Mytilus edulis: one gene and its partner. The protein of the gene in region 1 binds, or shares a complex with, the protein of each later gene. Links are inferred from orthologs where the notes say so. Each region holds a gene or a part of one and is shown on either strand. Other genes may lie near its edges.

Evidence for each region.
Region 2: integrin alpha-8-like (region 1) and scaffold protein ILK-like share a complex: the UniProt entries of both Caenorhabditis elegans proteins name them as parts of the integrin containing attachment complex. The link is inferred for Mytilus edulis from reciprocal best matches to the Caenorhabditis elegans genes pat-2 and pat-4.

What each region holds. Positions count from the first base shown.
Region 1 is NC_092345.1:85,189,592-85,196,982, forward strand, and holds the start of integrin alpha-8-like, read right to left. Parts: upstream 3,150-7,391; 5' UTR 2,864-3,149; coding exon 2,619-2,863; intron 1-2,618. Other genes in the region: uncharacterized protein, read right to left, coding at 5,115-5,171, 6,295-6,421, 7,021-7,091. UniProt on the Caenorhabditis elegans protein: Required for muscle development probably through the regulation of the actin-myosin cytoskeleton. Component of an integrin containing attachment complex, which is required for muscle maintenance.
Region 2 is NC_092351.1:71,741,342-71,749,409, reverse strand, and holds the start of scaffold protein ILK-like, read right to left. Parts: upstream 3,279-8,068; 5' UTR 3,131-3,278; coding exon 3,042-3,130; intron 1-3,041. UniProt on the Caenorhabditis elegans protein: Probable pseudokinase that acts as an adapter protein. Component of an integrin containing attachment complex, which is required for muscle development and maintenance.

The DNA of each region.
Region 1 (7,391 bases):
TTTGCAATTCTCTAACACATTTTCTACATGCAGTATCTGCATGTGTCTCTTCTGTAATATTTATTTCCAGATATTTTTCAATAAGAATACAGTATTCAGATTTGATGCTGCCATGAAATAATTTTCTCCTGTAATCACATTTTTCAATTCTGTTTCCACAAATTACACAAAGAGTTTTTTTAGTTGTTGGAGTAAATTTTATAAATCTAAAAAACTTTTTTGGAGTAGAACTTTCGGCCATTAGACACAACAGAAACTCTGACAATGATGTGATGTTTGATCATATGTATAAGTTCAGTGACCTTATCTTTCTAGTAAGTTATAAAATGAAAATAAATAAACAGTATTTGCACAACACTGGAATATCAAGTTTCACTTCCCAACTGTTATCTGAAATTCTTATCAATAAATGTCAATCTTAATTACTCTAAGATTAACAGTTTGGTCAAGCCTCAGACAAACTTTACAAGTCCCTTCCTCCTGCAGATGTCAGTATAATTGTAATCTCCTAGTTATAGCAGTAAAATTATTAAAGGGGCAAAATTGAAAAAATAATAATAATTAGGAAGGGACATGTAGCAAGTCTAGGCAAGATACAAAAACATCAGAGACCTGATCATTGGTAACTTACTTATTGACCATATATCATCTTTTGGTGACCATAAACCACACAACCATACAACAAGGATTGTTAAAGTATTGTACTGTGGTTACTTATATTATCGAATTATATCTGGTAATTAAGATTGGCATCCACCATATTCTAGTATGACATGTAAACACGACCCGGAGATCCATCCATCAAATTTGACGTAATTGCGTTTACCAGTTCATCAATACACGTAATGTTTATCTTATTACTGTGTTCTCAGACTGAACTTTATTTAAAATTTCAACTTTTTCCAGGAAAAGATCTTAACTCATTTCAAATTACCTGCTTTCTGACGGTACAAGCCATGTGAAACATCTTTAATGCACTTGAGTGTTAAACCTTGTGTACTTTAAACACGACATATATGTATATGAAAAAAATTGTCAGATCTTTTTTTGAAATAATGGTTCAAAGGATTTTTTTAGTTTCGTTCTGATGTTGACTTCATTTTAAATGTGGTAACCATGTGTAAGATTATGCGTAAATGTGTATCTGAAGCGATGTCAGAATGGAAGAAATTTTTAAAATATGATAATTTTAGTGCATGTTTATTCCCTAGGTGACTGTCAAATCCCCAAGATAACGCTTGGGCGTTTACTAATATAGTTCTGTTTCCGGACAAATTATCCCATGGAGGTCAAAATGTCCTGTCGAGCGCCTGCAGTCAACGTCGTCATAAATTAGTTTGGATTAGATAATAAATAATCATGGGAGGGATCACATAATCACTTAACTTCCTCGAGCCTGTCAAGTTCATTTCACAAACGTGATCAACTTTACTTAATAGTTTTAAACAATTATAATGCAAAATCATAGCCACCACACTACCATGCAAAAAAAGAAAAAATACACTAATTTTTAACCTAAAAGTGTTCTTTTAAGAGAGTCATAAAATAACAACACTGACATTTATGCCTTATGGTCAACGATGGTAGTGTAGAACTCAACTGATCTTATTTTTCAACTACATCACCGCAATAAAGAGTATTTTGGGGAATGCAAAAGCCTATGATCCATATTTTACATCATGTTGATGTATGTACAAAAAATGTATCCAGACGGTCATTCGGTTAAAAGTTTAGATTGAAGCATTACTTTAATTATTCATCCATCAATAACTGATAGGTTACAATCATTACTTATCTATGCATGGACAATATCTGGAGGCTATCGTGTATCACGTCGTAGAAAAGAAACTGTTAAACATAACAAAATCAAAACAGACATATATCGACCTTTATAAAGAGTTTGATGTTTATTTTGTTTAAATAAGCGTGGCTAAATTAATGTAAATATCTAGCTAACACGTTTTTGACGATTATTTTTCATTGATATAAAATCGTGTACATTTGTTTGTATATGTAAGATTTATAAAACAAGATTAGACGATACATGACAACGAAGTGAATAGAGATGCTGTGTCATTTGAAGTTGAATTTTTCAATTAAGTAAATGGTTGAAAGAAATTGAAGAATGGGGTCCTAAGTACACCAAAAGCATGTAGATGTCATCCGTGAATATATATTATCCAGAGTCAATTAATGATCTATTAATCCGATCACCTGCTGATCGCTTAGGGATTCACCATAGGATTTTTTAAGCCAAGTTTACATCACATAGATAACACATGTTTGATGAGATAAAAGATAATTGTAAAATAATAAACACAAAACATGTGTAGCGTTTAACCTCGTCTTCCCGTCAGATTATAGTTATGTACTGATTGAACAAAAATGTTCATACTACATGTATAGTACATAAAACTAGATAAGAACATGATTGCAGCAACCTCTTACGATCCATATTAGTTTACCTTGCAAGTTTTATTTGTAATTACAATATTTTCAATGTATATTTCATTAGAAATACCATCTACAAATATCATCTCTTCAGTTAGTAATTGATTATTCTCGTAACTGTGGCAACACTTTTCTTTGTGAACTTTAAAGAATTTGTGAAAACTTACCATCCTGTGTTTTGGTCGAGATGTTGAGCTACTGAGAATCCGAACATACTCCCAGTTTCACCTCTTTGAATTATAGCGTTCTTTATATCCAAATTAAAGGCACTAGTTATAGGAATTGCATATCCAAAAATACACACAAACAAAACTATCACAGAAACATCGAAAAAACTATTTTTTCCGCAACTACACTTTGAGAAAAATACCTTATCCATTTTAAAACGAAATAAATAACTAGTTAATCTCATATTTATAAAACCAAGTGATCACTTTATCCAAAGTTGTTTTGTAAGAAGAAGTATTTAATTTCACACATATAATAATTTCATCGTTTTCTACACACTAAACAACAACTTCCTACGGTATCGTATGTGTATGTAAGATATTGGCATTTGTAAGAGTGATCCATTACTGCCTTCAGGGGGTGATCAGGTTAAAGTGATGCACGTCGGACGAGTTTATTGCCCCGTGTGTGTAAAGATCCTAATATAGAAATTGGCCTGACTCATTCATAAAATCATTAAAAAAAAAAGCTCCCGCTGTTGTTTGAATTAGTTTGTGAGAGGAAGTTTTATATTTGATGTGAGATTCCGTCTCCTTGTAAATGACCAGCAGTAAATTGCACGTTTGACCTAGATTTAAAAAGATTTATGAAGATGGTTGACCAATATAATTAATTGAATGTTACCCAACCTAATAACAGACATAAGACATATATTATGGACATTTTGGAAAGGCACAACAAGGATTGACACAACACATTTAACTGATTGATTTAATGTTTTTTTGTTCACTTTTGTTTTTCTCTGGTCAAATTTACAGAGCTATCATTTTTCTTTTGTCACTGTTTGACAAAGAAAAGTATTTATATTACGATTCTTAAACATTTACTTAAACAATATTAAACTCAGTGTAAAATAAAAAAAAAAACATACTTTTGAAATTTGTATGTTTTATTTGATTCTCCTTTAAAGTACACTGAACAGAGATTAAAACAGAAAGAGTGTTTTATGTAGTTAAAAGGAAGTTTGTAAAATAGTAATTCGTGTAAATTTAACGCCGTCGGGAAGATATTAAAGGATTGTTGAAAACTTCGTAAGATGATTACGTATTTTTATAACAATTAACTATTTTTATTTTGACAGATCTGCTAATATCAATCACTTTGGAGATGCAGTCGATTGAAAAAAATGTGAACACCAAATACCTTTACATTAATATAAACAAGTGTCAGCTAGATAAATATCTATATATATAAGATTTTTATTGGGTTTTTTTTTAACACGGAGGATTAAAAAACAAAATTTTATGTATTATTGAAGTTTGAACATTATATTACGTAAGTTATTGCAAAAATAATCATGAGTGAATAGTGAATTGTGGAATTCTACCATCTACGGAGTTTTGAAATTTGTAAACTGGAATTAAATCAGTCAAGTTTGATGTAATATGTAATTTGATGGCTTCAAAAAAATATTTTATACTAAAATAGCGCTGCAGTTACCAAAGATCAGACAGTTGGTTTTCGCCTTTTGGTTGTTTTTTTTCACGATATTGTCATGTCGGGGACATTTATAACATAGTTTACAGCATTTGTTTTTGCTCATTGTTGAAGCTCGTATGTTGGTCGACCCATAATTATTTACATGCTTGTCCTTTGTTCGCTATTAATTTTGATAGTTGGCTCATTTGCAATCCCACCCTCATCTCCTTGTTTTTATGATTATACAACAGAAATGAACAAACTGATGAGAGACTTAGCACCCCTATAGAATCTTTTTACAGTCGTCTTTAAAGAAAGTAGTCAGTGAAACATACAAGCTAGTTTCAATTTCGATGCCTGCTTGTTATTAGTTTGTACTGTTCTGATTGACCATATTTACTTTTAATCTAGAAACGACACTAATTTATAGACTGGGTAGGATCATGGTAGTATTACATGAGCTTAATATTATTTCATTCGTTTGAATGCGATACATGTTTTTTAATTGACCCATGTTGCTCATTTTTCTATCAATTGTATATACTCAAACTTAATCTACCGTGAATAAAATGAATAAATTCAGTTAAACACAAAGTCTTTAAAACCAACAAGTATACATTCATTTAATTGATGATTCCATACGGGTGTACATTTAACATGAATCATTTCTCCATAAATTCATCTTTTTGTCTACTTTCTTTTCTCCATTTTAGTCATAACGGAAATAACATGCATAATAGAAATATCGCCTTTATTTCCACAACGCCTAAAAGTTATCTCCATAAACAAATAACTATAATACAAACGTACTATAAGAGGACATAAAACTATCCATGTGTGGCTCTTATATATGCATTGAATTTTTTTTCGATCAACGAAGGACAACTCCGAATAAAGCAGAACATCTTCACCAATTACACAAATGTATATTATTATCATACGAACAAACAACTGTTATACAAAAATAAAAATGAGTATTCTATAATGACTGTATAGATTTAAACTGCGAGATAAAATTAAATTGCATCGTATGTTCGTACTTTTCCTCTCCCAATAACAAAACGAGTACCATCCTACAAAAAAGTATAAATTCAGTAAATTCATGAACTATAATTACAATAGGGTGTACATTTTTATATATATGAAATACTTATACTTTTGTATAAGGTCAATACTTTTGTATAAGGTCAAATATTCCCTATCATACCTTTTTAATTACTTACATGTTTGAAGCAATTAGCTACTACATTATGTCTGTCGTATGTAAGTGACAGGAGTAAAACGATTGTCTAAGCCTACGCAAGGTTTTCAATCAATGAGTTATACAGGATATACAACTCAAAATGAAGAGTTATCAAGTGACCAGAACTCTTACTGGTATGAATTTCTTTATTGGTCAAAATGACCCTCTTACCAACATACAGTGAAAATATTTAAACTTTGCCCTGAGTGTGTCAAGTTTAAAAAAGCGAAACAGTTTGAATTGACTTTTTTTATATACAGAAGCTTTGTATATATTCAGCAAGTAAACCGTCTCGAAGCCTAATTTCCGTAAAACAATAACGGGCCCCAATGAGCCTGGAAATTTCACATAGAAGGGTACCTATATAACATCAATTTTTATAGCAACAGTAGTATAGGGGCAATGGCGATGTCATATACCACATTGGATTGCAACCAGTTTGATCCAGATCAATAAGATTTTATTTTGTATGGTCAACTCTTTTTAGGACAGCACATCCAACGGAAAGTATATTGACTACTTTCATAACTTGTAGATACTCAAGTTATCTTTCAAATGAACTTTACTTTTCTCTTTCAAAATAATAGTTCCAAAGATAATTGCAAAACACAGTTAAATTGGTTAATAACCGTCATTTAGGCGTACATGAAATAATTCCCATACGTTATTTTCACCAATATGGTATGGCATTAGTTTTCTGTTTTGCTTTTTTCAATCATATTGTCATAATATTGTTGTAAAATGATGCCCTTTATGGGTTCTTGATTAGATTAATAAAATTCTTATCTTATCTTATCTTATCTTATCTTATCTTATCTTATCTTATCTTATCTTATCTTATCTTATACTAGTAGCTTTAATTTGAAAAAAAACCCTCAAAAATGCTCTTTCGAATGATTAAAATATCCAATGTTGACAAAGTCACAAAAATATACACAACATATTATTTTTACCTTTATATATACTGGTACAGCAACCCAAAAGTCATGATTTGGTATAACTCGTTTACCAGATTCTTTACGTATAAATATTTGAACGAGTATTCCGATAAGTATGTACAGAAACAATAAAGATACAAACCTACAAAAAAAAACCACATAAAAATAGGACAAAATAGATCAATCTAATTCAAATATAGATAGCTGCTCGCGTTATACTATATATTGGGAGATCTATATTTTAATTAGATTGAAAAATAGAGCACACGAGTTTTACAGCGTTAACGTTTTGAAAATTGCACATAAGCAGTACTGTATTTATGCAGCACTTAACAAATATAACTTTTTATGTTACTCAGTATAAATATACAGGTATGTCTTTTCTCGTGCTATTTATACTTTGGACATGCATGTCCGTAAAAGAGGGGCGAAAGATACCAGAGGGTAAAGTGACACGACATTTCAAAATCAGAATTTATATAATCGTGCCTTAACTTGATTTAACATCTCTCAACCATCAAAGTATCATAATATAAGAACTAGACATTCGTTTTTTTCCTCCAATTATCCCAGTCATTGGGCCGAAGACGACTTTGATAAATTCACAATAAAAAGGTGCGTTTCAAAACATTTATTAATACCCTCTGAACCTGACAATAATGTAGAAGTGTATACATATATATATTCTAAAACACATGTTATCTATCCGTACCCCGAAATGAAGAATTATTAATAACTTACCCTATACATAGTATAGAGCCTACAGATAATCCAGATGAATCACAGACGTATTTGGACTTCAACTGGAACAACTGAAAAGGGAAAGTTTGCATTATTCTGCCAGAGACTCTATATCATGGTCCCGTAAGGGTTGTAGAATTACAGAGGTTGTCGAAAACATCTGAAAATACAATACTAAAGAAATATTAAGCCTCCACTGACAAACTTTATACTAACACTAACAGAAAATAAGTGTAAATATAATATATAGTGAAGCTTATAATGCTTTAAACCCATTGAACTTGAATTAAAGGGTACAAGATACAGTTTAGTATGCCTCATAACTTGACTTACATTTGGAAATTAACAACTAGGGTCGGTAGAGAACAAAA
Region 2 (8,068 bases), on another chromosome or scaffold:
AATGTATTGATAATTACTATGTCAGGGCCACTTTTCATAATTTCCCTAATTTGCATGGATTTATATAAAAATAATTACATTGGTGAATTGTGCAGCATGTGTTGATATAGCATTTGAGCATTAGTAAACCTCTAAAATATATTTTCTATTGAATTTCATATTATACATGTACTGATTTGACTGTTGTTAAGAGTGGAGAAATATTGCAATACACAAGTTATAGTGGTGAAATCTTTTTCTCTCATGATCTTTATCCTTCCTTTTTAAAAGATTTGTAGAAAGTTGTGTACTTTTTATGTGACGTCATCAGATATTGTTGTCTTTTTTCATGACCTCACAATTAAATTTCATTCTATCATTTGCTTAGAACAGACAATCAAGATAAATTTTGAAAATTGCACAAAATTAGAGAAAACAATATCTCTTTTATGTATAATCAGAAACTACAAGAACAAATTATTCACATTGACACTACAGGCACAATATGGATATATAAATGGTTTCATAATTATTATACATGTAACAGGCTATTATTTGAACTTGGAATTATTTTTATCATAGAATTTGCATAATTTCTCGTGTTTAAATTTTTTAATAAATTCCATGTTTATTTGGTTTTATGATGTTTTGAGCGGTTCATAGCATTTTCCATACAATGTATTTTGGTTAGATAGTGTTGTGCGCGGCACAGTACATTCTTGTGAAAATATACTATTTTCTTTGTAATAGAAAGTGTTGTGCGCAGCACAGAACATTATAGTACAAAATATACATGGAATTTATTAAGAATTTCAATAACAAGAATTTAAGCAAATTCCATAATTAAAAATAATTCCAAGTTCAAATAATAGCCTGTTATGTATAACATTGTATGCAAATGTTTTAAGAGAGGTATGGGTACAGTGTTGGATAAACAATAGTGATCATAATTTCAACTTATTTCTTCTCTTAACCTAAATTACATGTATGCATCATTTCCTTAGATTAGTACACAATTTCAGGAAATGCTACATTAACATTAAAACATGATAAATAAAATATTATAATATTATTGAAGTTTGACATGAAAGGTTGTCATATTTTTTTAATGACGCCTTTCCTGTTGCTATTTTCCCCACTTTAATACAAAAGACTTATAAAAACAATGCAAAAGTTGTGAATTAACAATACAGCTTTATACATGTAACATGCACAATTCAAAACATGAACATGCAAAATTTTCTTTTCTTGCTTCGCAAATGAGAAGCCAATTTTAGAAAAAAAAAATTTAAAGAAACTTTAAAGTTTATTTTATACATGTTATGTAGTCTTGACTTTTATCTTCATTTCAAAACAACTTGAAAGGTTAAGAAAAACCAAGATAACAGGATAACTTGTTAAGATAAAACTATAAATGAGCTTATATTTTAATTGCAAGGATCCAGCTGACCTGCATAAGCTAGTCAGTAAAATTTTGAACTGAAGAATAGGGTCTATCATCATGATCATGTCCATTGGCTTCATTAAAATGTCCATTATTAATACAAAGCTTATCAGTAGCTGCTTTCTATCATTGTACACTGTGCGACCAAGTCAAACCGGTACGTTATATATCAGTATATATGGTCGGATTATGTTTCTGTGTGTAAAAGAGAGTTGTTCCCCTTTTGCCAGTATTTAGTATTTATGTTTGTGACGTCATCTTTGTCTGATTAAAATGTAGAAATGGAAGCTGATGTGTTTTTATGTGTCTGTATGTAATCGCTTACATCCATGCTACCAGAGCTATTCCCCTAGTCCGTAATAGGTATTTGAACATGATTCACAAATACAGCTGAATTATAATTATCTTAATTTCATTCAAATATTGCAGAAACCAATTTATTGGTAAATTTCACTAATGAAGATAAACTGATGAATATCGATAAAATATTAATTAATGCATAGTTTAGTACATTTTATTAGTCATTCTAATGCTACAACGCTTGTAATGTTCATTTTGATTGGATAACGTCACTTATTTACTTGGGACGTACGTGCAAGCGCAGACAGCATATAACATATTTTAATTAATGTTTAAACTTTGTTTTCTGTCAGTTATAAAGACTATAAAAAAGTCTTCATTCAAGAAAATAAAGGAATTGAAAAATTTGGTACTGCATCAAACAAGACATTAATGTGGTGTAGTCCTATTACAGATATTATTTATCACATTTTAAGTTATGGAATTACATTTTTTGTAAGAATACATGTACAATATACATGTAAATGAAATATAAAGTACAAAATGTATTAAACCAATTCAAAAATAAAAAAATTATCAAACTCCTGTTTTTTTATTTAATTGTATTGCCGAGCTTTTTTTCATGAATTATTATAGTTAATTGATTGACTGGCTAAACAAATAAAAATGCTATAACATGATAACATTTAACCTTAAAAAAATAATAAGCCTCTTTATTTCACACTTTAAATTATATCATCAAAATTCCATACAGCAAGTGGTTGTAAACAGATGCATATTTCCTCACACTAACATTCTTGTGTAATGAGAGGATATACTGATAACTTCTGTCATAAGTGAGATAGTAGAAATACTACTGCTCATTCATAACAGTCAATTTACAAAATAACTCCCCAAAGGAAGCATAAAATGATATTTAAAATTATAAAAATCAGTTTAAAATATTACTTAAAACAATATTGTATTATTGAAATCTAAATGTTTACAGAGACTAAGGTATAAACCACTTAAAGTTTTTAAAATAATTCATGATTAAAGTTTATAGTTGTTGTTTTAAAGCATCCCCTACATGAACCCCTGTGTTAACCATATCCTTGTAAGGAATTTGCATAACCCAATCAACATCAGTGGGAATCTGAATCACAAATGGGGGGACCTAAAGGGGCATTTTCATACCATTTCAAAAATATACATATTTTAAAACTGAAATTGGTTGCAAATATATAGATTTTCCAGTTTTCATAGACAATATGTAAATTGAAATGTTATTAATAGTAGAAAGCTGTAAATGATCCTGAAACATGCAATATTTCCTTACCCCTGATTCAGATCGTTTTCTGTGTTATCAAGCCAAACTCGCACGTGAAATGCATTTCCTTCTCGCACCTGAGTAAAAATATCTTCCATACTAAAATATTGTTTGACTGTTTATCTCGATTGAAGGACAAATGTTTTAAAAAGCAGTAAAGTCAATGTAAACAAACTACAGTGGCCAAGCCCCTAACTCCAACCGGGCTTGGTTTAGATACGATAGCCGATAGTTCTACAAAATAATACAAATCAAGTTATTTATCGATCACACATAATGCCTTTAAATACGTGTCCATGCTAATTTTCAGCCAATTCTTGTTGAACTTTTTAAGAAAAAACGCTCATTTATGTGGATCTTCCCATCCCAAAACTGGCCTCCAGATTATAGAAAGTGTATCTGAAAACCAAGTAAATATTGCACAACGAACCTCAAAACAAATCAGTCGATGTTAACTGTATACAAGTAAAACGGTAAATTTTGTTAGATTAATCTATTAAATAAAAAAATAAAGATGAGTACAACTGGTTAGATGAGTAAATCAAGTTATTCTGTGATAGTATCCCATGTAACCAATGTACATCCATGAGTGTTTCTTCTTTTCGGTTATCATATTTTCGAATCCATGATATCTCGGCCTATAACAAAATCGGACTATAACAAACTCGGCCTATAACATAATCGGCCTCCCAAAATCGGACTATAACAAACTCGGACTATACCAAACTCGGACTACTAGAAGAATATTAGTATAATGTTGGTTGTTGTTGTTATTGGAAATTAAATATCAAACTAAATATATCTTGTCTTGTCTATAACTGAACTTCAGTTGTTTTTTGTTTTGTTTTTTGTTTGATTACTAAGCTTGTGTTATTATAAGAATGTTCAGTGAATTGTAGTTTTTTTTCTGGTTTCTGATCATACTATGTATGGTGGAGTCTTGGTGTGATTTATCTGTACAATGTAATACTATTTAATAAGAAAACATAGGGTTTACAAATTTTATTTCAGTAGATGTCAACAAACAATTAACATAACAATGATTGCGTCATTCAGTAATATCTAATGTTACTTACGAAATATATAAGACATATATAAAACACATAAAGCACATTTTAAACTCAAAGGCATTTTGTCATCATCTATAAGACTGAAATCATGCAGATATAAATGGTCATTGTCATAGCACACTTAAAGCATACATAGCACATTTAAAACACACATAGCACATATAAAACATACAAAACATATACATATCAAATATAGAATTCTGAGTCATATCTGAGATAACATGCAAAAATGAATGTTATTGTCAAGGCAAAAGCACGAGTATAAACATAGGCAGGAGTAATTAACAAAAAAAAAAATTTTCTAGGTAGTGTAAAAAAGAAAACTATCGTCCGTCAGCAGTGCGATACCTTTTCCGAAAAAAAGTCATATTGTGCAAATGAAATAACCGATTTAACCAATGATTTGTATAGTAACAAATTACAATACAAATCCTTGATTTAACAGATTATATTCTTTTAATATTGGTTCATCATATTTTATAAATTCAAATTAAATTATTTTATTCAAGAAAACTCACAAAGAGCATAAAATGAACAATATAAATGCATATGTACATAAATATTGAGAAAGAGTTATAGCTGACAAAGAGATCTAATACACACATAAAAAAGGAAATATTATATTATATGGTATGATAAATATCAAGGGAGACAACCCTGTTCTTATGTAAATACTCTATTAAGTTACCATATCCATACAACAAATCAGTTTTGTAAAATATACTCAAACTTAGAAATCTAGATATATTTCTACATACATTGGCATGTTCATTACTCATAAGCCAAATAAATTTGTTATCTGTGTAATTCATTTATATGTCTAATTCTTATTGTATTTACTATACCTATACTAACAAACTTTCAGAGAGCAATGTGGTTTTGGAATTTTGTGGTAATACTTAAAAATTGAAAACCCTGCAGATAAAATTACAATACTTGATTCGTTCAGATTGGGAAAAAAAGCTGAAAAAAAGAGACCAATCCTGGTAAAGTTTGCAAATTTTGAGATGCGGGATCTTGTAAAGAAAAGTTCAAAGAATTTGAAAGATTCACCTTTTGGAATTTCTGAACAATTACCATTAGAAATACAAAAACGTAGAAAAGAAAAATTACCACTACTGAAGGAACTGCGCTCCAGGGATATCAAGGCATATTTTGTGAAGGACAAACTTTTTGTGGGTGGTAAAGAGTATACATGTCCCATAGGGGCAGCACAGGGAACAATTGAACAATTTAAAATGTTTAAGTTGGAATGTACATGGTTTAAATTCTTGTTATGAAGACAATGGTTTTTTGAATTTTGTAAATACTTACGAAATTTTGTTTTTATGTGAAACTTGGTTACAAGAGAAAAATATTATAGAAATAGAAGGTTTTGTGAAACTTATATGTTTAAATAGAAATGTTAAAATTGGTACTCGAAGTGAAGGTGGATTAGCTATTTTTTGTAAAACAAAGTTATCAGATGGTATTTCTATAGATAGAGAGATAGACTGTGGCATTGTTATAATTAAACTGAATCATGAATTTTTTAATACTGCAAATGATATCTACATATGTTTTTCTTATATTCCACATGAAAAATCAATTTTTTATAACAAATGTGATGTTGATTTTTATGATATTATAGAACGTGTTTGTTTAGAGTATAAAGAAAAAGGTTCATTTTTAGTGTGTGGCGACCTAAATAGTCGTATTGGTGAAATTGATGATGTTTTATCAAATGATAACTTAGATCTGTATTTAGAAAGTGTAGACCACGTGGAAACCTCGATTGTTCCGAAAAGGCACTCCGTAGACAAAACCGTTAACGCATTTGGTCGAAAACTTTTACAGTTATGTTATAATACTGAACTTACTATTGCTAATGGAAGACTCGGAAATCGTGTTGGAAAATTTACATTCTGTACAATGAATGGAAGGAGTGTCAACGACTACCTACTTATTTCACCTAGCGATTATAAACTTATTAAGAATTTTGATGTGCTGAATTTCAACGAATTTTCTGATCACGCACCATTATTATTTGAACTTGAATTCCGAAATTTCAGACCGGAGTTATCGTTTCCAAAGATTCGCAATTACATAAAGTGGGATATAAAAAGATCTAATGAATATATAGATATCATACAACAAGAACAAAATAATTTATTGTCTTTAGTGAATAACATTACCAATACAAATAACTTAAATCATGCTGTTAAGGAATTTACAAACATCTTATTTGATCAGATTTCTTCCCTTGTATGATTGGAGTTCGTCAGGGTGAAAATCTTTCCCCTTTTTTGTTTTCCATATTCTTAAATGACTTAGAAGATTACTTTAGAGAACTTCATGTTTTACCTTTAGAATTAATTAAAGAAAAATGTTATAATGAATTACATGTATTTTTAGAAATTTTTGTTTTGTTGTATGCAGATGACACTGTTATTTTTGCTGATAATTATGATGAAATGCAAAATGCTCTCAAAGTTTTTGAAAACTATTGTAAAATGTGGAAACTTAGTGTGAATATTGGTAAAACTAAAGTGATGGTTTTTAGCAAAAGAAAATCGAAAATGGATTTTGATTTTAAACTTGATGGTACATCTCTTGAAATTGTAGATAGCTATACATATCTTGGTCTTTTGCTTAATTATAATGGGTCATTTGTTTGTGCAAAGAAAAAGCTTGTAGAACAGTCGCAAAAAGCACTTTTTGCTGTTTATACAAAGATTAGAAATTTACATTTACCTATTGACCTACAACTTAAATTGTTTGATTATCTTGTCGAACCTATTTTATTGTATGGATCAGAAATATGGGGATTTGAAAACATTGATATAATTGAAAAAGTTCATCTACAATTTTGCAAGAGAATTTTAAATGTGAGATCAAGTACTCCAAATGTTATATATGGAGAATTAGGAAGGTTTCCACTAGAAATTAAAGTAAAATTAAGAATGTTATCGTTTTGGAGTAGAATGGCTAAAAATGAAAAGAAACTTAGTAGTTCTATGTATAAGCTTATTTTCAAATTACATGCTGATGGTATTTGTGAATTTAAATGGGTGTCATTTGTAAAATCTATATTTGACAACTCAGGATTAGGTTATATGTTTTTCAACCAATACATTGATTATTCAACTTTCAAACCCGTTATAAAACAGATTCTTCAAGATCAGTTTCTTCAAAAGTGGTCCAGTAATATTGATAACTCGTCTCGTGGCGAATATTTATAGTATAACTAATCGCCGTATTTGAATATCAAAAATAAGACAACGCGTGACCGAACGACGCATGGATTAAACGAGTGCGCAGCACGAGTTTAATCCATAGCGGTGTTCGGTCACAAGTTGTCTTATTTTTGATATTCAAATATGGCGATTAGTTATTCTTTTTATTACATTGGCAAATGGCTTTTTTTTTATGAAATTAATGTAGAAAATGTAAGGAACTATATCTTTTTCCTACGCATTGACAATTTGTTTTGATCCGACCTTATCGACGTCTTGACAACGCCTATTGTTGTATGACGTCAGAGAGTGAAATAACCACGTTTATTTCACATGTGAAATTATCGGTTTTATCTATTAACTGAGAAATCAATGTAATTCATTGCAACCAATGTAATAATATAAGTTATTTAAATCTCAGTTTGGTCTGGAAAATTATCTATTACGTCTTCCAGAGGATAAAAGTATCTGGATTTCAAAACTGAGAACATGTAACCTAAAAATTCCTATGGAAACTGGCAGATGGTACAACATCGCTAGAACAGATCGCATATGTACCTTATGTAATGAATCATGTATTGGTGATGAATATCATTATTTATATGTATGTAATAATAGTTCTATTACTGAACTTCGGAAGAAATATATACCGAAATATTATACAACATACCCATCTGTACTGAAAATGCAAAATATGCTGTCATTGTGTCACTGTCAGTTATTGTATAATCTAGCTATATTTATTAAGAAA